Linked DNA regions of Astyanax mexicanus. The protein of the gene in region 2 interacts with the protein of the main gene of each other region in a biochemical or structural test. Links are inferred from orthologs where the notes say so. Each region holds a gene or a part of one and is shown on either strand. Other genes may lie near its edges. The genes, in order: pawr and dapk3.

Region 1 (17,137 bases), on a different chromosome or scaffold from region 2:
GAGGAATAACAAACTATAAACGATTTACACTGTTGCGGGGTCGGATTTGCACTCCAGTGCATACACACAGGAACACAAAGCAACGGCTAGTGTTCTGCTAGGACAGTGTGTGTGTGTGTGTGTGTGTTAATTGACTGAACTGCTGGCACTGATAATAATCTCTCTTCTATTCTGCTGACGGAGGCGAGAGTCAGGCCAGCCATGCTGACAGAAGCTCCTCTCTCGTTCGGTGAGGGTCCACAAGGGCCCCAATAACTCACTGCAGCTTATAAAACACACACGTGCGCGCACACACACAAACACACACACACACACACACAAACCCGCAAACACACTAGAACACAGTACAGGAACCACAGAGGCATGACTTTAAGACAAGGAAACATGCAAGAAAACACACATACACTCAGTTCAGTCCAAATACCTCCACACGCACATTTCCTCCAACAGTAAGCGAACATATCCAAAGTCACCCCAAACCAATCCATGTTCTCAGTCTCCCACATTCCATGTACAGACATATTGTCTCAGTCCCACTAATATGGAGAAAAACCAAAGCAAACAAAAGACTCCAGAAACATGATAACCAGCCGCCACACCATTTTCATTCCTGCAGTTACGAGGGCATGCATGTGCTTGCTTGGCACGGCTTAGTCTCCCTCTGAAACCCTAACATTAGGTCCTGGCCCGTGCCCAGTTCCCAAACTACTTAAGACTGCCACAGAGAGCAGGTAATGACAGGATGTGCTCATGCGAGAAAGATGCTGGGTAGACTCCAGCAGAGACTGCTCAATATGCTTCAGGTCTGAGGGACAGAAATGGCCCAAATTGCGAAAAAATGCAGCCCTGATTGACCCCAGTAGCAGCTACACCAGAAGTGGAAGGCTTTAGCACCTCATAAACAGATGTTCAGCAGAAACTGCTCCCAAATCTTACAGATATGTAATCTTAATAGCCTTAAGTAGCAGCTACTAATGGGAGGGTGGCCACAGCAGAAAGTGAAGGCATCCCAAATGCCACAGAAACTGTCCTATAGGATTTAGTTCTTACGGCTGGATAAATGCCTTGAAAATAATCCACACCAAAGGTGGAAGATCTTAGCACCTCATAAATAAACATCCAGTAGAAACTACCCCGTAGTACTGCACCCTCATACAGTAAATTAAGCTGTTCCATAGACTTCATGCTTAAGTGACAGTCCTGATTTTTTTTAAATTGCAACAATCCAAGCCACAAGCAAAATCTACCTTTGTTGGCGGAAGGTGGAAGCACCTCATGAACAAACATTCAACAGAATCTGCCCCCTAAGATTTGGGTCTTAGTGACAGAAATAGTCACATTTTTTGTACTAATGAAACCCTAACAGTCTCTAACAAAAGCTGCCTTGATGGTCGAAGGATATCACCTCAAAAGAAAAACATTCAACACAACAGTCCCATAGGCTTCAGGCCTTAAGGACAGAAATGTTCCTATATTTCACATAAATGCAACGCTAATAGCCACCAACTAAACTTACTCCAAAGAAAGCTAGCCCATATTCTGCAGAAACTGACCCACATGCCTCAGGCATTTGGGAAAGAAATGTTCTTAATTTGTAAAGAAATGCTAAAGCACCAGTAAAAGCTACCCCATAGGAAGCAGGAGGTGCCTAGTTAAGCAGAAGCTGTCTCAAGGACATTAGGTATTTTGGATAGAAATGGTTCCATATTTTACAAGAATGCAGCCCTAATAGCCTCTACCAGAAGCTTTACGTTAGGCAGAAGCCCTTAGCTTTTTATCAACAAACATCCAGAGCAGAAAGTACCATGTACAGTTCAGGTCTTAGGGACAGAATGGTTCCACATTTTGCAGACCTAATGCAATGTAACCCAACATACAACCTTATTCCCAGTAGAACCTACCTTGAAGAAGGAGGGCCTTAGCACCACAAACTTGTAGCAGCCAACTGCACCATAGGCTGCAGGTCTGTGAGCCTCACAATTCAAGAGTCCTCAATGAGGCATACAGTTGCTGACCCAAACAGTGAAGGTTTTAGCACCTTTGCCCTACAACAGAAGCTGTTATCGTTTAAGACAGGCCCGGAAACTCTTCCTTCAGGCACATAGAAGCTGCCCCAAACTACTGCCTACAATTTAAGCTTAGGGGCAGAAATAGTTCCAAATTTGGAGAAATGAAACCTAAACTGTCTCCAGTAGAAACATCTCAAAAAGCAGAAGGTTTTAGCACCTGTAGTCTATCACTCTCAAACTAAAGGAAGCACAAATGCCACAGAAAATTACCAACAGGCTTCAGGTCTCAGAGAAAGAAATTGCTGCCAAAAATGCAACCCTAATAGCCTCCAGTAGAGAAATCCCCATAGGCAGAAGTCCTTAGCACCCAAAATGCAACCCCAACTGTTTTCAATAGAAGCTAACTGGTAGGTGGAAGGTCTTAACGCTTCATTATTCAGCAGACACTGGCCTACAGGTCTTAAGGATAAAGGCCTAAAAGCCCTTTCATCAGACAAATAAAAGCTGGCCATTTTAAGCCCAATAATCTAAGTGTAAAATTGTCCAGTAGAACCTACCTTAAAGGTGAAAGACCTTATCACCTCATAAACGAACACCAGGCAGCCAACTGCAGCACAGGCCTGAGAGACTCACAATGAAGAGCCTTCAATGAGGTCATAGTGTGAAGGTTTAAGCGCCTCATGCTCTACAACAGAAGCTGCATTTATTGGGTAAAGGTCTGGAAACCCTACCTTCAGGCACATGGCAACTTCCCCATAGACTTTAGGTGTAAGGGACTAAAATGGTTCCAAATTCTACAAAAAATGCAACCATACTAGCCTCTAATAGAGCATATCCGGAGCTTTGAACATTATTTTTACTGTAAAATCTTTTTTATGGCTTTTAAGGTAGCAGGGGCTGCTGGCCTGTGTCTGGATCTGCGCTCTTGCTAGTTTTATCCTCTTTGCTAGTTTCTTCAGATTGGATATCGTGGGTAATTTCAACAGGGTGATGGTGTTTTTAAGTGTCTTATTACATTTTTGGAGTTATTGCGCCCTTGCAGGTATTGCAGAGTGCGATCAAGCTGAAAATTATTTTTACAAAACAAACTCCACAAATTAATGCCTTAGGTAGAAATTGCCCCTTAGGGTGAACTGAGGATCAACACCTATTATTCTTCATAGATAAGACGTTTCCCTGTGGCCTTAAAGTTAAAGTGTCTCAAACCGCCAACAGAAGCTTCCCCACAGGCAGCAAGACATAAAACCCTTGGGTAAAAGTTGCCCCAAAGGCAAGAAAGTCTCATAATGAAATTTCTGGCTCTGAGAAGAAGGTCTATCTGATCAAAATTAATATACCTATATGGCCACTGACACATCTGAACAGATTCTATAGTGTTACATTCAGAGAGTAATGATGCTCTTGCCTCACTTTAGGCCACAAATGCACAACTTCACCTCTTAAAAGGTAATAAAAACCCTGATCCTGTAAACTCATGCCTTAAGTCTGTAAACAAGGCAGGATAACCGTGATGTCTTTATTTTCATTTCGTAATTATTTAGAAGGCATTTTAAGGGAGCAGACAGGGAAGATGCAGACTAAGGCCCAATTCTGGCAGGCATTATGTAAAGGAAGCCTGTGGGTCTGAGCGATGATGTGAGGTTTAATGCTGGATCTCAGTCTGACAGCTAGATTGCACTGTACGCAACACTCCTTATTTTTCCACTTGGGTTACACAACTGTGATGAATTGAGGTGATCTGGGCTAAATCTGACCTGGCACAGCAAAGGAATGCAAGGACGAAAAGCACACCTAATACTTTCTTTAAAAAATAGTAAACCACTGCCTGAAACACAACACTGTGAATCTTACAGATTTTTCAAAACAATGAAAATAATAAAATAATGGATTTCTATATTTACATACAGACAAGCACGGCTTTAAACAGGTCCCAAGCAAGTTAAAGAACACAGCACTGATTTGTGGGATAGGCTGGTGAGGGCTCCTGCATTGAATGTGGATGTGATTTCTGTCAGTCGCTGTTCACATGGATAATTCTAGCCAGACGCCGCCGGTCACCATTATTATTTCCCCCACTGCACTGTCTAGTGTGGGTAGTAATATAAGCCTTCTATGGAGTATTCCTGGCACACACTGTAAGAGATGTTTTGCAAAGTTCTGCACAATTGTACATTCTTTGGCCACAGGGATCGCAAAGTGAGTGCAGAGGAATGGGACATTGTATTTCTGAAGTAGGTATTTAACATTTCTCCATCCATGTCCCTTACTGTGGCCCAGAACTTTACAAACTCCTTTAACTTAGTCCAAAAGCTTCCCAAACCCCCCTGTGTGCAGCCCAGCAGTTCATAAATCATACAATATTGCCCAGACCCAGCAAAATCTCTGTTACTGTTGCCCAGAACTACAATCCCATTATTTTAGCTTAGGACTTTGTAAGCTTCCGTTTGTGTGGCCCAGAACTTTACAAAGCCATTTACACAAATAACTGAAACCAGACACACTCAAGGCCAAGAGTTTCAGGCCAATAACATAAAGCAGGTTAAACTTACCTCATTTGACGGTATGCTGACGACCCCGGTTGACCTCCTCTTTTCCCGCAGCTTCCGTTTCTCTATTTGACCTTTTCCCTTTCTGGCACTGGGTCCAGAGCTTTTCTTCTCCTTGCCTTTCCCGTGCGGGGGGCTCTCCTTATCGCTGTCCGGGCAGGCGGTGGCAGCAGGGGGGCTGGGCTCCTTTTTAATAGGCGTCTCGGCTGGCCTGGAGTTGGGATCATCCTCGGGCCTCCTCAGAGCAGAAGAGGAGGAAGACCGAACAACCGGATAGGCCACGCAGTTCACGGCCGCAGAGTTTCCGTTGTTGCTCGGTTCTGGGGGTTTGGTGCCGGTGCTGCCCGTGACCTGCAGGCCGGAAGGTGGGCACTGCCCGGTCGCCGCGGCAATGTCCCCCAGCATCTTGGCCCTCATCTTCTCTCGCTTAGCCTTCCACTCCTCCAAGAAATCCGTGGCAGCATTGGCTTTGAACCCGCCGGATGCCATGCTCGTCCCTCTTTCGGACCGGTTCTTTTTGCTGGCTTTTCCTGGCTCAGAAGGTTTCGCTTCTGCTTTGTTTTCAGCTCCGAAAAAAATTAAGCAGGACGGACTTCACCTTCCTCTCTGGATCAGGAACGCCACATTCCTCCACACAGTAACAGGAGCAGAAAAGGGAAGCCTGGAAACACACACATGCACACACATACATACACACAAACACACAGTCTGCTGTCACTGATTACACACACAGCAGCCAACTGGAGATAAACACACTGTGATGGTCACATGATCACAGTAAACACACATACAGTGGTGGGAAAAAGTATTTGCCCCCTTTCAGACTTCTTTTGTTTTGGCATTTTTTGTCAACCCTTCCACCCCATAAAATAACTGTGATTAATCACACTTTTTGGAAAGCTGTCTTCAATTTTACAAACCACAACCAGGCCTGGTTACTGCCAGATCTATACAATCATGAAATCACTTAAATAGAACCTGTTTGAAAAAATGAAGCAAACAAAAGATATCAAAAAGCAATATATTATGACCCAATCTGAAGAAATTCAAAAACAGATCAGAAAACAAAGTCATTGTTCATCTATCAGTCTGGAAAAGGTTACACAATCATTTCTAAGGCTTTGGGACTCCAGCGAACCACAGTGAGAGCTATTATTCACAAAAATTAAGAAAACATAAAACACAGGTGAACCTTCCCAGGGGGGACCAGCTGACCAAAATTATTATAAAAAGGGCATGGACAACTCATCCAGGAGGTTACAAAAGAACCCAGAACAACAGTTAAAGAACTGCAGGTCTTACTTGCCTCCGTTAAGGTCAGTGTTAATGATTCATTAATAATAAGGAAACTGGGAGAGTTCCAGGGCAAAAAACATTGCTGACCAAAAAAACAAAATGGCCCATTTCATATAAAACATTTTGATGATCCCCAGGATTTTGGGTAAATATTATTTGGACTGACGTGGAACTTTTTGGAAGGTGTGTGTCCTGTTACATCTCGCGTAAAAACTAACACATAATTTCAGAAAATGAACATCATGCTTAATGTAAAACATGGTGGTGTTAGTGTGATGGTCTGGGTTGCTTTTCTGCTTCAGGTCCTGGACAACTTGCTGTAATAGATGTAACCTGGAATTCTGCTGTTTACCAGAAAATCCTAAAAGATGATGTCTGGGCATCATTTCATGACCTCAAGCTTAGGCGTATTTGGGTTCTGCAGCAGGACAATTAACAAGTCCACCTCTGAATTGCTTAAATTACAGTTTTGGAATGGCCTAGTCAAAGCTTGATTGAGATGCTATGGATGACCTTAAACAGGCTGTTTATGCTCGAAAATTCTTCAATGTGGCTGAAATAAAACAATTCTGCAAACAAAAGTTGAACAAAATTCCAAACACCAAAAAGAGAAGTGAAAGATTCATAGCCAGTAATCGGTAAAGCTTGATTGCAGTTGTTGCCGCCAAGGGTGGCCCAACCATGTTATTAGAAGAAATTAGGTTTAGGGAGCAAACACTTTTTCACACAGGGCTAGATTGGTTTGGACAGTTTTCCTTTAATAAATGACATTATTATTTTAAAAGTGCTTTTTATACTTACTCAGGTTAACTTTGTGTGATATAATGTTTGTTTGATAATCAGAAAAATATCAGTATGACAAAAAAGCAAAAACAAAATAAATACTGTATGCACTATAATGCCAAAAGTATACTCTCACCCATCCAAATCATTGAACACAGGTTCCAATCACAATCACAGGTGTATAAAGGCATGTAGACTGCTTCTACAAACATTAGTGAAAAAATCGGTCTCTCTCAGGAGCTCAGTTAATTCCAGTGTGGTAATGTGATAGAATGCAGCACCTGTGTCCAATTGTGAAATTTCTTCATTACTAAATATTCCACAGCCAACTGTGATATTATAACAAAATAGAAGCAACTGGAAACAAATTGAACAGAATGGGGTCAGCGGATGCTGAAGAACACAGTGCACAAAGGAACCAATCAGTACAGACCTCTCAACTTCATGTGGCCTTAGTAGAGAGCTGAGCAGCAGTATATGGCTGAGCATCTCCAAGCCTTACAGCACCAAACGCAATTCAATCGAGTGGATACTTTTGGCAATATAGTGTATATATAATACACACGCAAACACACACATACACACTTAACTATCGGTAAACACTGTAGATGGCACAGATCTGATACCCAGTCTGACACAGATCAGATATTAGAGGATAATTCTGGAATCAGATATCAGATCACGCAAAACTGGCCAATATGCAATAAGCAGGTAAAAAGTAGATTTAAAAAACTGCTATCAAACACTCCATATTAAACTAGACTAATTCTAAAATTCCAATATCAGACTGATATGTAACTTAATTACAGATATTGGGCCAGAATTGAATTATACGCTAATTTCAATATCAGATCAGAAAACCACTTGCGGATCAGTAACAGATGATACCCAAATTCCAATATAAATTCAAAGACTGAAAATCAACCGATAATCACGTCCCAATATGGGATAAATGCGAACCAATATTGGATCAGTATTCATACAGTCTAATATCAGACAGGTATTAGACAATACTTATATATCACATCATGTTGTGTCTCTCGATTCTGAAATACTAATATCTGTTTGTATCAGGTGATGCTTAAATACCAGTCTTGTATCATTTCAGATTCCAATATCAGTTGATACTCTAATATCGGATCAATTTTAGTCAATTTTCAAATTCCAGGCATTACCTGATGCTTAAATTTCAATTAAGCAACTAATACCAAATGTTTTCTATTGTGCCATGCATGCTTAAAATGAAAACACACACACAGGCACACGCATACACACACACACACAACACAGGTCCACATTCCAAAACTCTCAAACACACACACTTGTTGGCATTAAACTCAAACAAACATCACACACACACACACACACACACACACACACACACACACACACACACACACACACTCTGTCTCTATCTATCTCTATCTCTCTCTTTCACAGAAGTTAAAACATATCTTCAGCCACTAAACACACATACTTGCTGTCTTAAAACTTCACATTCTCTTACCTACCAACACACACACATTCTCTCACTAACCTGTTGGTTGTCACTAAAGGTTTACAAAACACACACACACACACACACACACACACACACACACACACACACACACACACACACACACACACACAGCTCCACAGTCAGCGGTCCCCCCTCTCGCTGAGTCCGGGCTGAGGGCGCTGTGCGGGGGCTGTGGGGCAGGCTGTGCCCAGGTGGAGCTCCAGGATCGGTGGAGAGACTGCAGCGCTCCGTCCCACAGTCTGCCACGGGAAACACTGCCCCCAACCCGTCTAAACCACGAGACAAGCCCCGGTAACTCACCTGCTCTCCGTCCCGCAGACACACACACGGTAAACCAGTCCGGTCTCTCACTTTCCCCAAGTAAGTCTCTCTCGCTCTCTCTCTCTCTCTCTCGAGCGCGCGCGCGTTCCCGGTCACTTTACGGAAACCCACGAGCGCACACGAAAAGTTCGATCAAAGCTTTACACCACACCCGTACTCCGACAGGCCACGCCCTCCTCCGCTACGATTGGCTGTTTTGTGCTTAACGTTGAAAAAATGATCTTGACATAAATCTTATGGCCAAAAGTATTGAGACAGCTGTTTATCCACTGTTTCTACTAAAATCAAGAGTAATAAAAAATAGTTTATTCTCCTTTTTAGAGTACATTTTATATATTGTATAAATATATATATATATATAGATTTATACTGTCTCTACTGTTCAGAGAATACTTCCTACTAGATTCTGGACTCATTGCTCTGAGGATTTGATTATATATATTTTAGTTATATTAGTTTATTTGCTCCAGACAGTCCTTTTCTATTGGCAGCAATGTACAGGGTCTAGGCAACCTGTGCTGTGTGCATTTGCACACCTCTTTTAGCATTGAGTGGTAAGTAGCTAAATGTAGTGTTCATTAGAAGGGTGTCAGCAAATATTTGAACATACAGCTCTTGAAAAAAAAAGGACCACTTTTAAAATATTAGTTTCTATGATTTAACCAGACATCTGGACTATAATCAAGAGGAAGATGGATGATCACATTGAAGACATAAAACCAAGCTGAATTGCTTGAATCCAAAAGCAGTGTGTAAGACTGGTGTAGATAAACATGTCAAGAGGCATTAAAACTGTGATTAAAAACCAGGGTTAATTTACCAAATATTGATTTTTTTTTATGAATATGAACATGTTTTCTTTGCATTATTTGAGGTCTAAAAGCTCTGCATCTTTTTTGTTATTGCAGCCATTTCTTATTTTCTGCCAATAAATGCTCTAAATGACAATATTTTTATTTGGAATGGATATATTTTTTTTGGTGGTTGCAATGGTTTTGCTAAGTGTTTGCTTGATGTTTGGTAAGATATTGCCTTGGTATAAAAATTGGTTGCTAAAGTATTAGTAAGGTGTATAGTAAGGTGTTGCTAAGGTGTTGCTGGGCAGTTGCTAAGGTGTGCTATGGTATAGGTGTTGCTAGGTGTTTGTTTAGGTGTTGCTATGTTTTATGCTAGCAGAATACTTATCTGTGTGATTGTAATGATGATACGGTTGAACATGTAGGTATACAGGTTCCGAATGACATCCTGCACCTTTACCCACAGATGATGCAGCTGGACCAGTAGATCCTGCCCTATACTTGTAGGTTGCTAAAGCTGCCATGCCAGCTGCTCCCGTAAATGCTAGATTGGTGCTCTCATAAATTCAGGTCCGGACAGGACAAGGTGTAGCATATTTTGTGAAGACATTTCTGGGAAACCCTTGCTGTGTGTGGGTGAGCATTATCCTGCTGAAAAAGGGCAATTTAAAAGCCATGAGAGTAAGCAACATGTGTGTCTGCAGGATGTCCTGCATTTAGCTGAGCTGTAAGTGTTCCTCGTTTCACTACTAGGGGTGACTAACTGTTGCATGTGATGCTCCCCAGATTATTACACCAGCAGTTGGGGCAGTGTGTCGCTCTTTAGCAATGGCAGGATTGAAGCGCTTACCATGTTGTAGAGGCATGTCTAGCAGTCAACAAACTCTCACCAAGAGGTAACTACCCAAAGGTAGCTGCTAGGAGCCTTCTTATAGGGTAGCAAGGGAAAACATTTTATGCCCTCTTGTGGTAAAATCCAGCATCTAATTAGTCCTCACCTGTAATCATTTACATATCTGTCTGAGACAGAACTGCATGCCAGGTTTGCAGCATATTCAACATTAATACTTTGTCCAGTTACTTTCCTTCAGCACTGCATATATTACAGTGTGGGGGTTGTAATGGCATCTGTGTGAAGAGATGCAATGTGAGGTGTTTTGCAGTGTTAATAAATGTTGAACGTTCTTGTCACTGCTCCTGGAGGCCTGTGAAATGGTGTGATGTTATTGGTGCAGGAAAGTGTACACTGGTAAGACAACTGAAGCTTGGGCTGGATTGGGTAATCAGTGCTAGCAGCGTTAGCTGAATGCAAGCTGTTTTCATAGTCTATAATAATGCTGCAATTTTCATTACCAGTGAGTGTTGTCCTGGCCTCAGGCATCTTCAGCACATGAAAGAGCAGGCCTAACGAGTGTTAACCTGCTGGAAACGGCTCTTCCACTCTGGCCCCGCCTCACACGCTTTATCAGACTGGTTCTTTAAGGGCTTGGCCTGCCCAGAAATGCCTGAAGAGACCATGAGAGTGTCAGTGTGGCCGTTTGTTCCTTGGGGTAGATTTACAAAGACATATGAACCCATTGAACAGCCAATAGCCTGTTTAAAAGATGTTCATCCAATATTCCTCATCAGAGAAGTGGACGGTGCTTCTGGACATGATGAAGATAAGGCTTCGACTTCTTTCTGCACAGTAAAATTATAAAAGGCATTAGTCGGAGTTTTGGTGCTAAAATGCAGAAATCAATGTGAAGTATATTAATACTAATTAATTAAATGAAGTTGGGCAAATAAAATATGAAATATTTTGGGTTTATACTCTTTGCAATCAAATGTAAGAAACTGTAAGAAACTGTAGACTGAAGGTGAAGGTGTAAAAATGAAATTTTAGGGTTGTTAGCATTCTCTTTGTAAGGGCTAACACATAAAGCAGTATAGGGGTTGTTGTAAAGAGTGTGCTCTATAAATAGCCTGTGTTCTAAAGAGTGAGGTCATGATTCTGCATGTTTAGCATTTTTCTGCCCGGTTTCAGAAAGGCTGAGGAGAACAGCTCTCCAGAGCCTGGGCTTTCAGTCCAGCCCGGCCCGGCTCGCCTTTCAGCTGCAGCCCACTTAGCATTCCAACAATCGGCTTTCTAAAGGAGCAGATAAGTGTGTAGTCCCGCCCTCGCCGGGCACTAAACCCACTGCCCTGCTGGATCACCCTGGAGACAGCAGCCGACGGGTAAAGCTGCCCAACAGGTTTTCCCCTTTCTCACACCGCCCTCACTCCTCACAATCACCATTTACCTTATAAACACAGTTCTGGAGAGGATCCTGAAACAGAATCTGAAGCTGAATTAATAGATTCATACCTTTCTAAAAAAATAATTCAGTTTCAAATAATCAGTTAGTTTTCTACACACTTTAAAAGTCGTTTGTATGTCAGCGTTGGCTTTCTCAGAGTAGCCAATTCACTTAAAAAAATACACATTATTTTTAAAAGATGTTTTATACATCTGGAATTTAAAAACATTTGACTCTAGAATAGACCTATTCTATTGAAGTACTTCTCTAAAGGGTCAAGAAAAGCTTTGGATCTGCATCTGTGTTAGCAATGAGCACAAATAAACATTACTTAAAAAACGTATTAGAATGGATTCACTAGAAAGAGAAGGTGTGTCCACAACAAACATTTGGACATTTAGTGTATTTGAGCCTCTAAGGTTTCATTCACACAGCAGGTCATATAGTGGCCAAAATCACCTTATTTTAGTCTGTACTGGGGTGTCGATCAATAAAAATCAGATTAATCACAACAATATTCTGATTATCTGCAATTAAACGCACTTGTTCTTCTTAAGACAAAAAATATGTAAAATGCAATTATATTTATATTAGTTGTGTCAAATAAAATGCTAGTAAATGTAACTTGTATGGGTACACAATTTCTTTTTAATTTGACCTATAGCTTACACTGGTCTGCGCTGTGTAATGTGCAGATGCTACATAACAGTGCTTCATGTGAAGTTTCAGTTTCCTTCTAGCCAGAATCTAAGAAGCTATGGTTTGCCTCCTTTTTTTTTTAAAGCTTTTTAGTTTCCTTTTATGCTGCGGCAATGCCAAATTACAAGAGACACCCGTACAGATATTTATGAGGTCTAGTACCTCACAATCCTACCACTGAACCCCTCCCTCACTGTTGTCCTCCATTTTCCTATCTACTACAGAAATTTATTTTTTATATGCTTGATCAAAAAGTTGCATGAGTTCTAATCTGGTTGATCAGACTTGAGTTGCATTGCAACAGATAATATATGTGTCAGATATGTCCTCATTTCGCAGAAAATGCAGCAGAAATAAAGTCGAGGTGGAGCCAGTGGGGTGTTTTGTCCATCAATCATCTAATGCCTGAGCTGCCCTCTAGTGGAAGCCTCCACTAACACATGTTGCACACAGGGAAGTATGTGAACCGTTACATTTACAATGCAAACGATGCACAAACCTATGGCCAAACAGCAAGTACACACCAGACTTCCCAAGTTTCCTGAAAGTTGCGGGAGCATATCAATAATGGCTTCCCGATGCCCGCAAGTCAGAAAAAATCTCGAGAACTAGATCTAGAACTAGTGGCCCAAGTGTGAACACAAACGCGCACACAGCGCGACACAGACTTTTTTCCATAATCGCATGAGTGAAAGAGAGGGAAAGGGAGAAAGGAGCTCCCCTTGTGTGCATATTTATGAACCGCATGCAAAACAGAGAGGGTTCTGATTGGCCTGTTCTCTGCAAAGAGTCTGTGAGTCAATCAGTTTTTACTGTGGGCAGGCTGTGTTTTTTTCCCCTCCTGGATGGGAGGGGCATCATGACTCTATCAAAACTTATTTCACCTCTGACCACTCTAAAGTATATCCATGTCTAGTTACAGTCTTGCCCACTGTACAGTCTGTGTTCAGTAGCTCCTCCATTTTCACTTGCTGATGTGTTTACATGGATCTCCGTGGAAACGAAAAAAGGGGTTTTCAGCCTGTAACTTTCTCAGTGTACGTCTGAGAAAAACACACACATGTACATTCCGGACGGCAATAAAAAGACCCCTCATAAAAGAGAAAATTACCCCAGGACCCCCTGAGAAACGAATCCCTTCTGAATAAGGCTTGAGAGGCATAAAACTGGGTACATGTTATTTTTTTGTTGTTGTTAAACGTATTATTCACAGATTATCCAATTTGCACACCTCAGCTAGTTTATTATTAATCACATACTCAGGGCAAAAGGGCAACTCTACAACTCTGCACATCATCTGAGACCAATTATTAACAGCACTGAACACTGAACTGAGATGTCACATAGAGTTTCAGTGACACTGACAGCAGTATTTACAGTAAATCAATCACAAAGTGTTACCTCAGGGGACAGCTGCACACACCTGTATAAGTTGTGAGGTGTTATTCTGTGTGAGAGAGGTTAAACACTGGCCAGTATGCTCATAGCTAGACCACGTGATTTAGGTTAGCTACATTACAGCATTAAGTATTGAGAAAGACTGCTGTGTACAAAAGTATTTATTTTACACTACATCGCAGAACAGACAATTATCGGCCCAATATTAAAAAAATGCATATTTTATCGCAAATTTAAACAGTGCGAGAGGGAATGCACACATCTACGCACACATTGGCCATCAAACACACTTACTAGGTTGCTAGGAAAATTGGTAGACAGGTCTAGAAGAATCAATCAATATGAGGTGCCCCAATACTGTACTCCTGTACATGTGTCTACATACATGAAGCACAGCTATAAATCAGCAGACATCCTGTTTGACATCAGCGGCTCAGCTTTCATATCGTTTATACCTCCAGTTCAGCCCAGTAATCCATACCAGCGCCAGCTGCAGCACATCTGGACCACAGACTCAAGAGTGAGTGAGTGTGTGTGTGAGTGTGTGTACAGAACGAGAATAATAGCAGCCTACCAGATGAAGACAAAAAGAACCTGGAGTGTTCTCTCACCACTCAGCGCCTGAACAGTGTCCGCTAATGAATTACTGCAGTATCCAACAGAATAAAGCTGTTCACTACAGTCCCACCAGCTGTTCTAACTCCACTCAATAACAACACACCACCTGCTATACTTTAGCTACAAGGCTAAAGATGCTAACAAGTAGTAGAAATGTATATCCCACCGGTAAGCTCTGAAATACAAGCTTATACTCCACCAAACAATTAGCACTGAAGCTATTAGGCTAATGTAGCTAACTAAGAAATTATAAAAGCTTATAGCCCACCAAACAATTAGCACTGGAGCTACGAGGCTAATGTAGTTAACTAACAAGTAATAAAAGTGTATACCCCACCAAACAATTAGCACTGGAGCTATAAGGCTAATGTAGTTAACTAACAAGTAATAAAAGTGTATACCCCACCAAACAATTAGCACTGGAGCTATAAGGCTAATGTAGTTAACTAACAAGTAATAAAAGTGTATACCCCACCAAACAATTAGCACTGAAGCTATTAGGCTAATGTAGCTAACTAAGAAATGATAAAAGCTTATAGCCCACCAAACAATTAGCACTGGAGCTACGAGGCTAATGTAGCTAACTAACAATTAATAAAAGCTTTTACCCCACCAAACAATTAGCACTGGAGCTATGAGGCTAATGTAGTTAACTAACAAATAATAAAAGCTTATACCCCACCAAACAATTAGCACTGGAGCTATGAGACTAATGTAGTTAATTAACAAGTGTGCCCAAATTTATGCGCCTGGCTAATTTTGTTTAAAGAATTATTGCATACTTTCTGTAAATCCTATAAACTTCATTTCACTTCTCAAATATCACTGTGTTCATCTGATGGTATATGGTATGGTATATTTACTGAAACTCTGGTATGGTATGGTATATTTACTGAAATTCCTGATCCAAATAACCAATGGTTTATTAAGGAAAATCATTAAAAAAATTATCAGGGGTGAGCAAACTTTTTCATACCACTGTAGATGTGACTGAGAAAATACCAAGATGTGCAAAGCTGTCATCTAAGCAAGAATTACTACTTTGAAGAATATAGAATATAAAAAATATAAAACATATTCTGGTTTGTGAATTTCGTATTTATCTAAAAAAAAAAAAAAAAAAAAAAAAACCCACTTAATTTATGGTGTGTCCTTACTTTTGACTTGTACTGTATGTGTGCACTGGCACCAACAGCAAAAGAACCTACAGAAACATATGCTGGCACAGCAGTGCTTCTTCACTTACTAATAGTAAAAAGAATATTTAGAACACAATATTTAGTAAACTAACCTGTGTTAGTGTGTAGGACACAATTAGGACATAGTCTGAGTATGTATCATGGATATTTGAGTATACTAAACTTTCACACTTTTATCTAAACTACACTCTGCACACTCACACCCTGGTTATTAGCATTAGTTATTCAGGCACAACTAGGACCCACCCAGTGAGTGTTTCTAAGGCAATGCTAAAGCTTTAGCCTTAAAGCGGTTTAGCATGTATAGTAGCTCTTCCAATTGACTCTTTGGCTTATTTACTCTTGTTTAATGCACCCTGTGTGTGTGTTTGTGTGTGTAGCAGCTTAAGTACAACCTATTTGTTCAGTTTTATAGATAGCAGGTGGTGGGATTACCACCCTGTTCTTGTAAACATCAGAGTAAACAAACCTTTATTTGGATAAATAGCATTTTAACATCTTCATCAAACACACACACGTACATACAGACACACACACCATTGGCATGAAGGCCTGGGCCTTCTCCATTCTTTCTTTCCTGCAGCACTTCACCGTGACAGTGCCAGCTGCATGATGCCATCTGCTCAGCTGTGAAGGCCAGTATTCCCAGTTCCCATCTAACTACTAGTTTATCAAGCTCCCCTCACCACCCCCATACAAATCTGTAAAGGTGAAGGAGATGGACTGGCCAGAGTATGTCTGCATTGATAAACCCTATTGAGGCATCCTCAAGCGGAAGGATATGTTTGGTGTTAATTATTTGCTCTGGGGTTTGTATGGCCCTCCTCACCCTGCTGAGGGGTTGGACTGGGAAAAGGGGACTCGTTTGTACTTTAAGGCCTGTTATTATAACATATGTGCACTAACATGCTAACATACAGCACCTGAAACACACACTGAGATTGTGAGATGGTAAGATGAAGGGTTTAGAGGCAGATGTGTAATATCCTGCTGCTGCTGCTCTATTACAGGAACAGGAAGAGAGGAATGTTGATTTGAGTAAAGCACTTCCTGTACAGCCGCATTCCAGCCTTCAGTACAAATCTCAGCACAGCCCTGTACACCCACACTCCCCCCTCCCCCCTCACCAGCACCTTCACCATTACTACACACCAAAATACCAGATACAATGCTGATCTACATCATTCAGTATGTATTTATTACTCAGTATGAATCATTTGCATATATTATCATTTATTTAATATGCACTGTAGTTTAATAGTTCAATATCCATTATGAATTATTTCTTACTGTAAAAACAGTGATTGTTATATTCATTATCTATTTATTTATTACTAAGAACCCAAAAATGACTTATTATTCAGTATATTCTTTTAACTATTCAGTATCACCTCTAAATTAAATATCTGTTGGGAATTATTTCATTTCACATATACAGTGCCCTCCATAATTATTGGCACCCCTGGTTAAGATGTGTTCTTTAGCTTCTCATAAATTGAGTTTTGTTCAAAATAATATAGGACCACGATGGAAAAAAAAGTAAAGTCCAACCTTTTACTCAAGTAAATTTTAAGGGGGAAATAAAATCCCTGACTAAGAAATAATTATTCTTCATAAAATCACCTGTTCCACAATTATTGGCACCCCTAACAATTCTTAGGAAATAAATT
Region 2 (16,994 bases):
TTTAATCACTGTTTCTAAAAACTAATATGCCCAAAAAAGGTGCCACTGTGCAGGCTGAGAGGACACAGTGCTGCCACAGTCATTATTAATAGAAAAAGAGCTCACTTGGGATCTTTGACCAAAAGCCTGCGGATGAAGTCTTTGGCCAGTTCACTGGTGTTGCTGAAATATTCCTCATCAAAGTCATAGTTAACTGCAGAGATGTTAGTCAGAGTTTCCTGTTTAGTCTCCCCAAGAAAAGGAGATGCTCCACTCAACCTGCAGAACACAATCACTGATTACACATAGATTGACTGACGAAATGTTATACACAGAAAAACACACATACAATAAGAAAAACAGATATATGGGTAGAAATAAAAACAGACATACAGAAGGATAGACTGACAACTATATACAGACTGACTATACAAAGCTAGCCAGATAACAATATTAACAGAGAGAAGGAAGCCTGCAGTAAGAGTGATCTCTGGTTTTAATACTTACAGGATGTATGTAATAACCCCAATGCTCCTGCAGAAGAAGAGAAATTAACCAGTTTTCAAATTATTAATTGCTTGAAATTATTATTTGGACAAAAAAACACTATTATACTAACCACATGTCTGCTTCCAGACCCAGGGGTTCATAATTCACAATCTCTGGAGCTGTTTGTAAAGGAGAGCAGAAATAATAAACATCACATCACCAAAATTTATTATTTGATTATTTTGTAATATTTATAGAAAACCTAAAATGGAAACTACAGATCGTTTGCCATTATACACAGCCTAACACTGTACTGCAGAAGTTTTTTAAAAATCTCCTACCAACAAACTCTGGAGTCCCAAAGATGTTTTTAAATTCATTTCCTGCTTTTATCTGGTGAGCAATGCCAAAATCTATCAACTTGATCCTGGGGTTGGGAACGTTCTTATCCAGCAGCATGATGTTCTCTGGCTGCAACACAAAATCAGGAAACAGGTCAAGACCCATGCAGACAATATACAAAAGGTCCTCCAATAAGATAAAATGACAGTGACATTCTGGAAAAGACCTTTGGACTTTTTAGTTTGGTCTGAGCCAAGAAAAAGCAGATCAACAAAGAACAAAGGACCAACATTTTGTCAGACAAATTGAGGTGGTCTCGGTCCCCATCAACTGAAGCATCATTGATAAGTCAAAGAACTTTTTAAGTAGTTCAGCCGGATAAATCAGAATAGATCACCTCACAGAACAGTACGAGCACAACTGATTGTGCTCGTGATTCCTCTATCTACTGTAACTGTAGATTAACCCTTATTTATAAACAGAACTAAAGGAATCTAAGGGAAATCTGTTCTATATACTGATTCTAGTAAGGTGCAGAATTGGCTTCAAACACCTGGAAAGGCAACTGGTGAACTGACAACATTCTAAAAAAACAAGAAAAGGAAAATTCAGTCCACGTATAATCTGAAGTCCACTACCTAAACCTTATACATTTTGTACATTAATTAATAATGTGCATTACTTACCTTGAGATCAAAGTGGGCAATGTGTTTGGAGTGCAGATAGTGAACTCCATCCAGGATCTGCTTGAGAAACTGTGTGGCCTCCTCCTCAGTCAGGGACTCCTTCTCAGCCAGGAAGTCGAAGAGCTCCCCACCGGACACCAGTTCCAGAATGAGGATGACGTCAGTCTTGTTCTCAAAGATGTCGTGCAGAGTAATGATGTTACTGTGCTGGATCTCCCTCAGGATGTTCACCTCTCGCTCGATCTCCTCCCGGCTCACGCCACGTCGGCTGGACGACAGGCGGCGTTTCTTGATAAACTTGGCGGCATACTCTGCACCCGTGCTTTTCTCACGACACTTACGGACAATGGCGAACTGACCACTGGGGAGGAAACACACACACAGACACACACAGACACACACAGACACACACAGACACACACAGACACACACAGACACACACAGACACACACAGACACACACAGACACACACAAATGTTTTGGAACATCAAACCAATTTAAATATTAGTCAAAGACAACACAGGTAAACACAAAATGCTGTTTTTAAATGAAGGTGGTTATTATTAAGGGAGAAAAAAATCCAAACCTACATGGCCCTGTGTGAAAAAGTGATTGCCCCCTTGTTAAAACATACCATCACTGTGGTTTCTGACACCTGAGTACACTGTCTCTAGCCACACCCAGGCCTGATTATTACCACACCCGTTTCTTAATCAAGACATCATTTAAATAGGACCTGCCTGACAAAGTGAAGTCCACCAAAAGCTACACATCATGCCGAGATCCAAAGAAATTCAGGAACAATTGAGAAAGAAGATAATTGAGATCTATCAGTCTGGAAAGGGTTATAAAGCCATTTCCAAACCTTTGGGAATCCAGCGAACCACAGTGAGAGACATTGTCCACAAATGGAGAAGACATGGAACAGTGGTGAACTTTCCAAGGAGTGACCGGCCGCCCAAAATTACCGCAAGAGCGCAGCGACGACTCATCCAAGAGGTCACAAAAGACCCCACAACAACATCCAAAGAACTGCTGGACTCAATTGCCTCAGATAAGGTCAGTGTTCATGCCTCCACCATCAGAAAAAGACTGGGCAAAAATGGCCTACATGGCAAAGTTCCTATACTAAAACCACTGCTGAGCTGAACATTAAAGCTCGTCTCATAAAAGAAACACTGCATTCCAGAAAAAGAACAACCAACAGTAAAACATGGTGGTGGTAGTGTGATGGTCTGGGGCTGTTTTGCTGTGTCAGGGCCTGGAAGACTTGCTGTGATAAATTGAACTATGAATTCTGCTGTCTACCAAAAGATCCTGAAGGAGAATGTCCGACCATCTGTTCGAAACCTCAAGCTGAAACAAACTTGGGTTTTGCAGCAGGACAATGATCCAAAACACACCAGCAAGTCCACCTCTGATTGGCTGAAAAAAACAAAATAAAGACTGGCCTAGTCAAAGTCCTGACCTGAATCCGACTGAGAAGCTATGACATGACTTTAAAAAGTTCATGCTCGAATACCCTCCAATGTGGCTGAATTACAACAATTCTGTAAAGATGAGTGGAGCTCAAACCATTAGTTAGGAATGCTGGATGATTAGCATCCAACCACATCATCACCATCTCATCTAAAAGCGTATTGGATGGACCACAATCATTCCAGAGACCACAGTCCCACTGCTACACAGCTCAATGCTGGGGGGATTTATACCCCTCTAGCCAAGGCCTGGCATTGGGATGGTGCCAGCAGGTTAAGGTTTATCTACTCTAGAGTCCTCTGCCGAAGTTCAGTTATGTGACTCCTTTCCTGCGCTCCCTCCACTGTCTTTCTGCTGCTGATCCAAAACCTTACGCTGGCCTACAAAATCAAAAGCAGACAAGCTCCTTTATATTTGATGCGTCAAAGCCAGATTGGCACCAAGAAATCTTCAAGCTTCCAGTGCGGCTCATCTTGACTCACCATTCTTTAAGTTCCAAAAGAATCCGGACATCCTGACTGTTCTCTCTCCTGGGACCAAGATGGTGGAACATAATGCAAAGATGACACAATGTAAAAGGCGGAACTAGTAGAAGTGTTGCAACCCGGAGTGAAAACTGTTAGTGTTTTTGCCCAAAGTGCTTTGATACTATCTGCGTGTCCTGGTCAGATATGGGATTATATCCTCCCGAGTGCAATGCAACTCCAACCAGAAGAATTTTAAGCTCTGTTCACAACGACCACAGTTGTTTACTTCCACTCAGACATCTCAATCTCCTTTAAATCTTTTTTTGGTCTCTGTCTTGTCATTTTACTTATATAGCTAGCTAAAGTACATTAGTTTACAAAGACTATTAAAATGTGCAATTATCTATTATTTGCCTTGCAAAATACTACACAGATCAACCACAACATTAAAACCAGCTCTGCATATACATTACACTGGTCAGTTATAACATTATACATCACCTTCTGTTTCTGCTTTCCTTGTAGCTGGTTTTAATATTGTGGCTGAAGCTTACCATTACCACAACAACATTAATCCTGGATTTCTTTTTTATTAATTATTGATCAATTTAAATAACTAGGATTTTTTAAATAAACAAAAACAGTGTCAGGGAGCCTATTAAACAGCTGGATTTGTTATGGATAGTTAGAGATTCTGTACCTAAAAGTACCAAGCAGTCAAGCAACAAGGGGGAAAAAATGCTGTATAAAAGAAAAGATGCATCAAGATGCCCAATAATCGTTTTATAAATCACACTGCAGACCTCTTAATCGTAATCAAATTGTAAGGTGCCTAGAGATTCCCATCCCAAAGTAAAAAACAAAGCACTTTTGTAAGTTGCTATTGTAGAAGGGCGTCTGCTAAATACCTTAAATGTAAATGTAAATCTATTGTATTGGCATTTGGCAATACATTTACAGGTACTAGACAAGTTGTGTTTTTGCATTTGCAGGGGTAAGCTATGTTAGCCTCTCCTATATAAACTAAAGAAGCACATTATATACCCAACATGTCTTGGTTGAATTGGTTGAATTCAATCTCAGATTTTTCACTGCACTGCTCCTTTAAAAAAAGTGTGAGATCATAGAAAGTTTCTCAGCTGGTTAGCGCTCCTGATGATGCTGCAAGTCATAAATTGTGGATATAAACTAAGTGAGGCTGAGAACTGTTATAGAGTCTACGATAGACGTTCCTGCAGTCTGAGTAATCTGTAATCTGGTGTGCAGCACAGCTGTTTTCTGGCAAACGCTGAGAAAAAGACAGACAGAGATGATGTCATCCTGCATTAAAGCTCCACTGCCTTTTATAGGAAAGCAAACTGTGTGTGTGTGTGTTTATGACTCATTCTTTGTGTGAATTAAAATTCCTCACTAGTGTGAGAGGAAGGCACTTACGTAAAGGTAAAATAAGCAGAGTATCTTTATCGCAGCCGCATCAGTGTGTGTGTTAGTACAGAGTGCTCTAAAACACACTGTGCTTCACTGCAGCGCGACAGTGTTTATGCTGACTTAGAGCAAACAAAAGAAAGCGTAACAGTATGACATTCTTCCGCATTAGTCTGAATCTGGTTTAATATAAAAACTTCAATCCAAAGATCATTGCTAACACACAACTGAAGAAACAGTCCTATACTTACTAGGGGTGTAAGAAAACACTGATATATTGTAGTATAACAATACTGTATCAATACTTAAAAACACAGCATTTACTTAAATAGTAAGTAGTAGTAATAAATACAATTACATTTAAAGATAATATACTTTTCTTTTACCCAGAATTTTTAATGTGTTGGTATTTACCAATTATGAAAGGTTTTCTAAAATAAAAACACAAACAAACAAACAGAACATATTGTTTTGCTTATGGTGTTGCAGTTTATCGTAAGCTTCTTTAAATTACAATGGAACATCAATGTTTTCTAACACTGAACTACCAATAGCAAAAAAATAAATAATAGCAATTTCTAACACTGAACTATCAATAGCAAAAACAAAAAATAAATATCCACATTTAGAGCCCATTGCTCAAATCAGATGTGGCTGTCTTGACGGTTCACATACACAAATATAAGTGAGCTGTATCTGTGTGTAATGTGAACGAATCTGTCCCTGAAATGCCTCACACGCGCACACTAATACATGTATAAACGACTCGTAGTTTTAAAAAAAGGGAAATGATGCTTTAGCAGTTCATATGTGGAGCATCTTTTGCTGGAGTGGAGAGTAAACAGCTGGTCTGAAGTTCATGCTCAGGTCGAGGAGGTGAAAAAAGGGCCAGGCGGTTTGCTTTTGCTGTTTTTGCAGCTATAGCTGCACCAAGAGATGTGTGGGTACCAGAGAGAAACACGTAGCGCATGCGTAAAAGAAAAAAAAGACACATGAATTTGACCGTTCACATTTATGTAGCATGTCCATGGTTCAGGTTAAGCAAGTTCGATTTAGCAACACATAAAGAAGTGGCTCAGATCTGAATAAAAAAAAATAAAAAAATCGCATTTGGCACGTGCACACAGCCTTAAAAAGAAAATCTGAGCCACATTGAGCAAAAAAATCTAATTTGAGTCACTTTAGCCTGGTTTTGTGAACATAGCCAATAATCCTGTTCATGATTTCAAAAAGGTAAAAGGAAAAACATTACTTGTACATAACTTTGATTAATTATGTAATAATTAATATTATTTAGACTTTTTTAAACTCTTTTTAACAAACCTAGCAATAATTACCTCTGTGTCACTTTTAGCAGATCACTGTAAGTCACTGATGTACATCACTCTGTCTTACAGGCACTACTTCACAACCCCACCATTAAAACCCAGCCTATGTTGACTAATCTAACCAAATTCACAGCCGTCATGACTTACTCATCAGAGCTAACGACGTAGCGTCTTACCTGCCTAGCTCCTCCCCCATCTCATAGAACTTCTCCACATCCTCCTGCCTGAAGCCAGCCATGACTCGCTGACCTTACCCACAGTCCACACTTGGGTCAACAAATCCTGTAACAGAGGAGATAACAGGACATCCTGAATATGTCTCTTTCTGTAGGCTAAACAGGTTCATCATAGGCTCATCATAGGCTCATTATGAGTGTCTAAACTGCTGTACACTAAATAAACATACAATCTGTAATATATCAGTACTGACTTGGCCAAAAAATCTCAAATATATTTCTCACCTAAAATGAATTTTAAACATTTTGAAAGGTCACGTTTTACTAGCTGAATAATATTTCTGCGTATTCTGCATTATATGTCTGAATAAAGCCAGACAGCATTAAATCATCATTTTGTTCTCATTGTGTGAATTTACAGATATAGTTGAATGCAAATAGATGTGACGGATTTACATTAATTAAACATTAAATTATTTTTTTTAAACCAAAACAATAATCAAACATTTTTTTTCTAATTTCCATTACTTTTTAAAAACATTCTTAAAAAAAAAAAAATAAAAACCATATAAAAACCTGTAAATGTCAACACTTTGAAACTACAACTAAAACTTAATTTTAATAAAAAAAAAATTAAAGGTGTTTTCTCAAGCCATTTAAATCACTGTTTTCTTATGGACATAGTTTGGCAAAACCTACAAAATTAAGAGAAATTATTAATAATCAGTGTTTTATGAACTCTTCATCTGCATTTATCACTATAATAAAAATATATACTCCCCTATTGCCCACCTTTAATAGTTTGACAAACATTTAACTTTCAAATGTTTCTTTCTTCTAAATAAGGAATATTCCTTTTAATAGTCCAGATATGGACAATAATAGCTTAAAGTATGAAATAAATAAGTTATACTCAGCCAAAATGAGCTTAACAGACCCTGACATGAGTCTTGGGGATCAGTAATGTGTTTAATGAGTGCAAATACCAATCCTGCTACATCATCATCATCATCATCTTCATCCAGAACAGACAAACGTGAGCTTTATCGCTTAAAAAATGACTGATATTTATATTTCATAACATGTTTATTGTCTCCAATTTCACTAATATTCTAATTAAGGTCAGATGTGAATTGGTAAAAGACTTTTTCTGTTAAACGAGGTTTATTTTGGAGTTTAAAAAGAATTGTCAGTTCCACCTTAAACGGTCCTGCAGTTAACATAGAACTGCTGCACTATTTAAGGTGGAACGGATAATTTGAAAAGAAGCAGAACTTCTTAACTACACAAATCATGTTAAACTAAACCCTAACACTGGTCGGCTCTCATACACAGTTACAGACACACAGAGAGGTAGAGAGATAATGCGGTTTAACTTCAGTTAAATATTCACTAAAACCCGCTGCCTTTTAACGCTGACTTTAGCTTCTTAGCTAACCTAGGTTAACTCCACATCTCAGAGCCTCCTGAGCCTTTAAACAAACCCGGGAATCCTTTATTTTACTCTCCACACTAACCTGTACTTAACATATAACTGTATAAACTTAATACATGTCTTCATCAGGGTTATTTAATCTGTTTAAAGCTTTACATGTGAATAAAATGTAAATACTGTACTCACAGACCGGACAGCTGCATTCCCCGCGGGCGGTGTTTCCGCTCCAGCGCCGCCCAGCGGCCGCGCTCGGGTATTAACGCCGCGGTGACGTCAGGAGTCGTGCTGCAATAAAAAAGCTTCGTCGTATAAACCTATACACAAACTCTACCCAGATAATTAGACATTTTCTAACATTTAAACACCACTTTAAAACACAATGTTATATCTTGTTATTTACCTGAAATTGTCAATATGTATAAAAGAGGATAAAAAATAAGCACCTTTTTTAATAATATAATAATAATAAACATTATTTATGTAGCACCTCAGTGCAGCTCAAAGTGCTTTACATAGAGAAAAAGAGAGTAAGAAATAGTTCACAAGCACAACATTATCCATAAGACTGATATAAAATATTGTTTATTTAGGTAACTACTAGAGTATTGTTTATTTATGTATGTATTATTTGGTCTTTTGGTAAATGACAGAGATAAATGTACCAATGCATATATCACACATTTTAGACTTTTAATGGCCAGGTTTTGTATGAATAAATGTAAATTCTCAGGCAAGACCCTTTTGTTGCTTTTGAAACAAGGATGAAACATTGTGTTAAACTCATGGACCCTTTAATACAAAAGTTATTAAAACTGTTACAACGTGTGTATTTTAAGATATTTATGTAACTGTGTATATCCCCCAAGCATTAGCAAAATGATTACTATATTAAGCATATTATTACGTGTATATTATGTTATTTGCATTTGATATTGTAGATATTGTAACAAATTCAGCTTAAGACCAATTTTTTGGTCATCCAAAAAAAAACATACCCTATGCTGGTAGGCTAGCTCGTTAAACAGCTCTTGACCAGCATGATGTGTTTTTTTTTTTTTGGGTGACCAGCTGGTCTTAAGCTGTATTTGTTAGCAGGTAGCATTTTTATCAAGGCTGTGTTTACTGTCAATCAAAAAGGTTCTTCATGTACAGACCCATGTCTGGCATATTGCAAATATTATACTTTTGTTGGGTAAATAATATATACTTAACAGCAGATTTTTTTTTTTTACAATTTTCCCAATGTTTATTTCTTCTTAATGGCCTAAGAAAAAAATCAAGAAATTTAAGAGAAAAAGTAATAGAATTCCTGGAAATAAGAAGGCCTCATGAATCGCAATCTTCTTTCTGCTATGATTTTATTGGTTTTATCCCTGTCATCCATATTTATTAAATATTGTAAAATTGCATTTTTACTCTTCTGTTTCTCATTATATTTATGTCCTTATTTGATTCAAGGAATATGGTAGTATGGTTCTATTTTTTAGTCTATTATGACTAGATAGGCCTATTCTCAGTTGCTGCATTTTGTACAGAGGAAATTAAAACTACAAATAAATTATTTAATACTGTTTTCAGTACACAAATGCAACATTATCTATAATCTACGTGTTATTATAATTATTTGTAGTCGTAATAGTAATTGCGGTGGAATATATTTACATTGAATATAATTCCTATTAGAATAAAAGACACCCACTTTCAACATATCACATTTCTGTATATTTTTAAAGTCAGGTTAGAGGGGCTGGTGTGCATGAAAAACTGAGGACAGGACACAAACATTTGGCACAAACTTCAGTTTACAGTGTAAGATTGAGCTTTAACTCTTAGTTATCAATAAATTATCCTTTTATAAAAGTGCACTATGCAAATTTATGTTTCTAAACCCCTAACATCTGTTTATTTACTGTAAATCAATCATTAAACTGAGATATCACTGTGTTAAAGAGCCCCGTTTCAGACTGACAGCTGCGTGAGCCACTCCCGTAGGTGCTGGCGCTGGGCAGGGATCGGACCAATAAGACGCCGCGGTTAGCTCGGGATCGGGATCTGTGGCCGTGCCTCAGTGCAGATGGAGGAAGAACAACAGTAAGACAGTATGAGATTAATGCGGAGCCTCATCTGGACAGCTCTGTTCATTAAACAGGTACTGACACCACACAGCACAGACACGTTCAGTCTACTGGTCAGTTACGCTGAAGGAAATATGTAGATAAGGACAAATAAACACAGATTCGCTTTAGTTTAGATGAAGGTTAGCTCATCCTGTTAACATGCTAACGCTAGGAGACAGGATGAAGCCTTCAGGCCCCGAAACCTTTAAACCTGATTTACAGCTTTATATATAATGTTTAGTTAATTATATTATGAAGGGCGAAAAGAGAATTAAGACTGTCTGATAAAATACTCTTAACACGGAGTTGAAGTTAGGGTTTTCCAGTTTTCCTTTCCACCTTAAATAATCCTCTGACTGCTGCACTATTTAAGGTGGAATGAAAAATTCGCACAGAAACAAAGAACTTTACCGTTTGTAAGTTTAGTGAATTATTTAGTTAACTAGTTTACTTACTGATTATGTATTATCCACTGTAAATTATTGAGCAAGTTTACATTTTAGTATCTGTTATAAATTGTTAAGGATCCACTGACTTATTCAGTGTTATTAATTGTGAAGTAAATTTGTTCAGCTAGCTGTGTTCTCGTCTGCAGGCTGTGGGAGAATATGGCATGGCTCATTTTAGTGAGTGGGGAAAGAGTAAAGGGAAGGATTACTGCATCTTCTTCAACTCTCAGTGGGCTCGGCTACCTCAGGACCTTAATAAAGCAGTAAGTTATTCAACTTCTCTACAAATACACATGCTTACCTTGCTGTAAACACAAACATAAACTAATTGCCAGCTAATTGCAGGAGTGGCTAAGTGGAATAGCAGTGTTAGCTTAGCATCTCCTGTTGTACATTAAAGTATCATACAGCAGATGCCAGTAGTCCTGCAGATATGATGTCCCAAAAAGATTGTGCTTAACAATAACATTTTCATTTTAAGACCATTTATGCCCTCATATAATAATCTTACACTAGTATTTGAATGCAGTTACACCCTTTCAAAGAGCAGTAAGCTTTTAATGAGTAAGAATATTAAGGCATAACAACGTGCCAAGGGTCTCTGAGGGGTCCAGCTGACTCCGGTGGGTACTAAGTGGGTAGCCTTACAAATTGGGGAGAAAATTGGAAAAAAATTGTATATATACAGTTCTGGAAAATAATAAAAAACAACTTAAAAATGAGAAGTTTCTTTAACTTTACCAAATTGAACACATCTGGAATATAATCAAGAGGAAGATGGATGATCTAATTGGCAATATTAAATGTTGTCCGAAGTTTATATATAAAAAAAACAATGTTCGTTTTACTCAATAATATACCTATAAATAAGAGAATCTGATTCAGAAACTGAGGTGCTCTCTTTATTTTTTCCAGAGATATACTGTATTATAAGCCACTCTATTAATGAATGTCTATTTCCTTGTATATTTTCTGGTGTATTTTTATACATAAGGCACACCAGATAACAAGGCACATTTTAAATGACAATAGTAAGGAATAAGGGTGTTACACAGTAATGTACACACATTGCTCTCATGAAAACTGTTAATTTGGGCGAGTAAAGTGCTTCAGTTTATTCACAGTAAGCTTAGATTTCCAATATTGTCAACAGAGTGTTAGCAGCAGCGCTAGCCACTGTTAGCAGGGTTTAGCGCTAGTAAATCATCAGCTAGTAAATCATCACCTGACTGGTAGAATTTGTTCATAATGCACACTGATGTTTGGAAGTGTGCCTTATAGTGTGAAAAATGTGGTAAAAACAAAGGACATCAGTAATGTTTATGGGCTCGTCGCACTAAGAAGCCCCAATGGGCAACATTGAGATCAACATAAATCATTAAGGTCATGTTCATATATTGTAAAAAATGTAATTATCATAATTATCATGAAAGACCAAGATGCCAGACATGTCTTGGCTAATTGACTATATCTGAGGGCAGGTCTTAATTTCCTGTACCTGTATTTATGATCTTAATCAGTGTATGGTGTGTATGTATATTATATATACTGATTTTCTGTGTGTTTGTTCAGTCTCGTCTGCTGGCGTATGACTTGACAGCTTCAGTGCTGTGTTCTGCCTCTGATGTGCCGGAAGGCGGCTTCCCAAATCGGATCCCCATGGTGCTGCGTGGGAATTGTACCTTCTATGAGAAAGTGCGTCTGGCGCAGATTAACGGAGCCAAAGGCCTGCTGATCGTCAGCAAGGACCGGCTGGTGAGGACTCTGGGGAGTGTGAGGGTAGCAGATGGGTGTGAGGGTAACGGTTTACAAAGAATTAATGTAAATAGGCATTTCATATAGAACTGTTATTTAGCTTTTCAAGGTGTTGCTTGAACAGTGTTGAATAAAATAATATTTACCTTTCTCTCTACTGGGACTATTTACAGTTTAATTAACTAATAAATACACCCACCAGTTTTCTTTTTTTTTTTTTTTTTTTATGAAAAATACCTTATCTACTCAGTAAATCTCTGATATTAGAATGAAAAACAGTGTTTAATGATTCTTTGTTCTTCAAACTAGCTCACAAGATCTCAACAGTAAAACCACTGAAACTCTAGAAAGAACATTTTCCCTATAGTATATGGTGTTATTTTCTACTAAATAATAATCTGTATTTTATCATAACCAATATTTAGCATTTTTTATGATCTTTTGGCTAATTCTTTCCAATGATTCATATGTAACTATGGGTAAAATCCATATGTGCTGTGTTTACTTTGGCCGAGATAAGCTTCGGGGCCACTTCTTGAAATTGGTACAAAATATAGTACACCTACTCAGTATTTTGATGACTATTTGAGACACTTGTGCACTCCATGAGGGCTGACTGTGTGTTTTAACTACTGACAGGAACATATGGTGGCTGTTCAAGGTTTGGGAGCAGTCGTCTTGTTTTACTGTGTGTTGGCCCCTGAGCATGTACACTATACACTTTGTGATTTCTGTAAAGGCCTTTATGATATGGTTAAGTGGGTGTTACTGAATTGACTGCTCTATTATTGTGAGTTTTCTACTAGACCTTCTTCACTGTTCAGACGTTTAAACTGAAGATTATGAGTAACTTTTTTTTTTTTTTTTTCTTAGATCCCGCCCTTTGGAAACAAGACGCAGTATGAGGAGATTGATATCCCAGTGGCTTTGCTGAGCTATGCTGACATGCTGGACATAAGCAAGGTGACCTTTCTTTTTGTGAAAAAGGTTTATAGCAACATTATGTAGCAGCTTTATATAGCATCAAATCTGTGTTGATAGTACACAGACTAAAAAAAGAGAAAAAATCCTAACTGCATAACTCTTCATAACCTGCATAAAAGTCCTTTGTGGAAATGGTTTTAGTGCCTCAGTCCACATGCTTTTTTTCACTGTCAGTGACCATTCTTTATCTCTCAGCTTGTCTAAAAAATGTATATATATATGTAAAGCTTGTCCATAAGTGGAGGTTCAAAGTGCTTCACTTCCCAACTGTAGGGGGAGCCCACAAGCAGACATTACCTATTTTCACATAATGCTGCTTTAGGTGCTAACACATTTTTGAACCATCACTAGATAACGGCATATGTGTTCCTAACAGAGTTTTGGAGAGCAGTGGCAGGTCGCGATGTATGCCCCCAATGAGCCAGTGGTGGACTACAACATGGTGATCATCTTCCTGATGGCAGTAGGGACAGTGGCAGTGGGAGGATACTGGGCTGGCAGCAGGGACATTAAGAAGTAAGTACTCTTTATATACAGCCTTGTTTGTACATTAGGCATGTCCAGCTCCCGTGGTTGTGCTGTGGTCTTTCTCCACTACAGTATAGATCATGTCTGTTTGAGAAATTAAGTAACTAAAGTGGTAGAAGATGAGTATTCCTTAAGGTGTGTGTGTGTTTCATATGTGAGGTTCCTGAGTGTTTCTGTGTGTGTTTTACAGACGCTACATGAAACATAAGCGAGATGACAGTACGGAGAAGCAGGATGAGGAAACTGTGGACGTTACCCCTATCATGATTGCTGTATTTGTGGTGATGTGCTGCTCCATGCTGGTGCTCCTGTATCTTTTCTACGATCACTTGGGTAAACACCCCCCCCCCCCCCACACACACACACACACACCAGCAGACCTCTGATATCCGGGGCCGTTATCTACTGAAATGGCATCTGATTAGATCATGTTAACTAGGATCTGATCAGTGCGTAACATACATAAGGCCCTTGCATTAATCTGTCATGTCAAACCTGTGACCCCTGTGAAACAACCATTTTCCTCATCAGTTTGTTTACTGTAGATAAAATGCATAGCTTGTTGCTGTCTGTTACTGACAAACGGTAATTTTAAATGATAATTGATTGATTTTCTTAAAATTCAGGGTAATAAATTTCTGAAAAAATGAAGAAAATAATTGTATTTAGCATGATTTCCTTTATTGGTTGTGATAGATGAGCTCCATCCTCATCCCCAACTTTCCAAAACTCATCCACAACTTTTCAACTAATCCCTAACTCATCCTCACCTTATTACAGTATCATCCAGCTATTGATGTATGAACAACAAAACACAGTTGCACTGCTCTACAGCTCAATAAAGGGGGGGCTTTATACCCACACCTAGCATTAGGCATGGTGCCAATAGGTACATGTTGTTGAAAGTATTGGGTTATTTCGGCATATTTTGTTTGTAATAATAATAATAAGAAGAAGAAGAAGAGCAGCAACAATAACAACAACAACAACTGCAGGAAAAAAGATTTTACTTTTGACTTCTGTACTTTTCTATTGATATCTCTCAAAGTATTGAATTAACTGTATGTTGCAGCAAATTGTAGTAGTAACCGCATGAGCACATAGCGGAGAACAGATCTGTAATATATAGCCTTATAATCAACATGCTGATTGTCTCACAGATGCTGATAACTCTTTATTGAATGATTTAGAATATTGTGGTGTTTGGTGGTATATATGTTGTTTTAATTAATAATTGAATTACTCAGGCCTTCTCCTTTGTGTTGTTCATGTTCTTGCTAATGTGTGTGTGTGTGTGTGTTGTGTTTGCAGTGTATATGATCATCGTGATCTTCTGCCTGGCGTCTTCTGTGGGTCTGTACAGCTGCCTCTGGCCTTTTGTCCGCAGAATCCCATTTGGGAAATGCAGGTGAGAGACAGAAATGCCTGTTCAGGATTTTAGCCATGTCTCTACAGCACTAATCCACCAACAAATCAATTCACAAGTACAGACCAAAGGTGCTGATTTAAGCATATTATGTGTTTTAGTCCCTGTTTATAGACAGTATTGTGCACTTTTCACACACTAAACCTGGGATATACTATGTTTCCCACTAATGTATTGACTCCCTTGTTCATATATGACTCTATTATAGGGAAACTACTAGATCAACTTTATGCAAATTTCCACTTTGGCTTTTGTTCACCCTGAGCCGGTTTAATGTGCACACCTGACTTGGGCTTTACAGTGTTAGAAATCTCAATGTTTACAAGAGCATGAATGAACATTGTGTAATATGCACATGCAGTTAACACCATACTAATTGGTAAATATATATTAAATAATCATCTTGTGATGGATGTCAATTAGTTTTTACTCTGATGATGAATAATGTATGATGTATCATATTTAGTAAAAGACAGAACAGCATGCAAATACTGCAGCTGGTTTTACCATAAACCCAAAAAACATCTCTCCTGTATGAGCTATAAGTATTTTGAGACCTTAGAATTATTTTCATAATCCCCCTGGTGAGGGTTCTGAAATCTTAACGCATTGCCTCCATGTGATTTGTGTTTGTGATTCTGCATCACTGCAGTTTAAATATGTTAATATGTGGGTGGGAACAGAACAATGTGTTAAAGTCAGCAAATACAGAGAGGTGTGTGAGTGTGCGCATGCACAGTGGGTCACTCGAGCAGACCAGTGCAGCTGTTTGCTGTCCAAAATAAATGATCACTTTTTTGGTTACCTGTATATAAGTATCGTGAGACACATTAACACCCAATGAGAAAAATGTGCTGTTTTAATCTCATGCAAAAGATCTCATCACCCCCTAGATTCTATTACTTGTTATTTGCTGCAAGAGAAGATTTATTGTATTGATGAAATATTGATGAAAGTTGGTATTTGTGTGTTGAATAGGATTCCAGAGAATAACCTGCCATATTGTCACAAGAGGCCACAGGTGCGAATGCTGCTGCTGTCTGCATTCTGTGTGAGCGTGAGCGTCACATGGGGTGTGTTCAGAAATGAGGACCAGTACGTATACTCTCTCCTTCTCCCTTTCTCTCACACACACAAACCTACATACAGTAATACTTATCTGCTTTGTGTGTGTGTGTGTGTTGCAGGTGGGCATGGGTGTTGCAGGATGCACTGGGCATCGCATTTTGCCTCTACATGCTGAAAACTATCAGATTGCCAACATTTAAAGTGAGTTCATTCAAAACATTACACAATATATTCTGACATACCAAGTGATGGGATAGCAGTTTGTACAGTTGTGTTTAAAATGATTTAACCCCCATTGCAGTAAAGTGTTTTTCTTTTTAGGAAATTGTTAGTTGTATGCCATATGTAATGGGACACAAACCTAACACGCTAAGTTTAACATTTATTTTTTAACTTGTTCGCAATCAGATTAAATAATAGACAAATGCAACTTCAATTATGACATTTTTTTCTAGTATACAAACATCCTTTATGTGATTTCCTCATTGACAAAAGTATTCAACCCCTTTAAGATTAACACACTCAAGAACATATGTTTCAATCAGGTGTTTTCAGGTATTGAAAACACCTGTAGATGTGAACAGAACCACAACAATCGGCAATTTAGGCAGATTTTAAAGGACTTAGACACTCAGCTTTTCCTTCTGGACAGTTAATGGTCTCTTTGCAACATGGTGAACATTTTAAGAGACACATTTCAATGATTCACAAGTTTGAAGGCACAGTGAAAACACTACCTGGACGTGGCAGAAGGAGGATGCTGTCGGCGACTGCTGTCCAGAACCTGAAACCAAAGGTGGAGAAAAATCCCCAGCTGACAGCTGAGAAACTGCTACAGGACTTGTCAGAGGGAGGTACTCA

What was found.
Region 1: of the proteins of dapk3 (region 2) and pawr, one has a biochemical effect on the other in vitro, tested with the Homo sapiens proteins (2 studies listed by BioGRID). The link is inferred for Astyanax mexicanus from reciprocal best matches to the Homo sapiens genes DAPK3 and PAWR.

The regions. Positions count from the first base shown.
Region 1 is NC_064409.1:25,117,012-25,134,148, reverse strand, and holds the start of pawr (PRKC apoptosis WT1 regulator protein), read right to left. Parts: upstream 8,609-17,137; 5' UTR 8,457-8,608; intron 5,217-8,456; 5' UTR 5,045-5,216; coding exon 4,559-5,044; intron 1-4,558. UniProt on the Homo sapiens protein: Pro-apoptotic protein capable of selectively inducing apoptosis in cancer cells, sensitizing the cells to diverse apoptotic stimuli and causing regression of tumors in animal models.
Region 2 is NC_064415.1:44,692,562-44,709,555, forward strand, and holds the start of dapk3 (death-associated protein kinase 3), read right to left. Parts: upstream 8,071-16,994; 5' UTR 7,993-8,070; intron 6,478-7,992; 5' UTR 6,434-6,477; coding exon 6,372-6,433; intron 1,858-6,371; coding exon 1,497-1,857; intron 940-1,496; coding exon 810-939; intron 648-809; coding exon 599-647; intron 514-598; coding exon 487-513; intron 259-486; coding exon 106-258; intron 1-105. Other genes in the region: sppl2 (signal peptide peptidase-like 2), read left to right, coding at 9,908-9,955, 10,519-10,635, 11,945-12,127, 13,001-13,090, 13,488-13,627, 13,830-13,972, 14,951-15,047, 16,044-16,160 and 1 more. UniProt on the Homo sapiens protein: Serine/threonine kinase which is involved in the regulation of apoptosis, autophagy, transcription, translation and actin cytoskeleton reorganization. Involved in the regulation of smooth muscle contraction.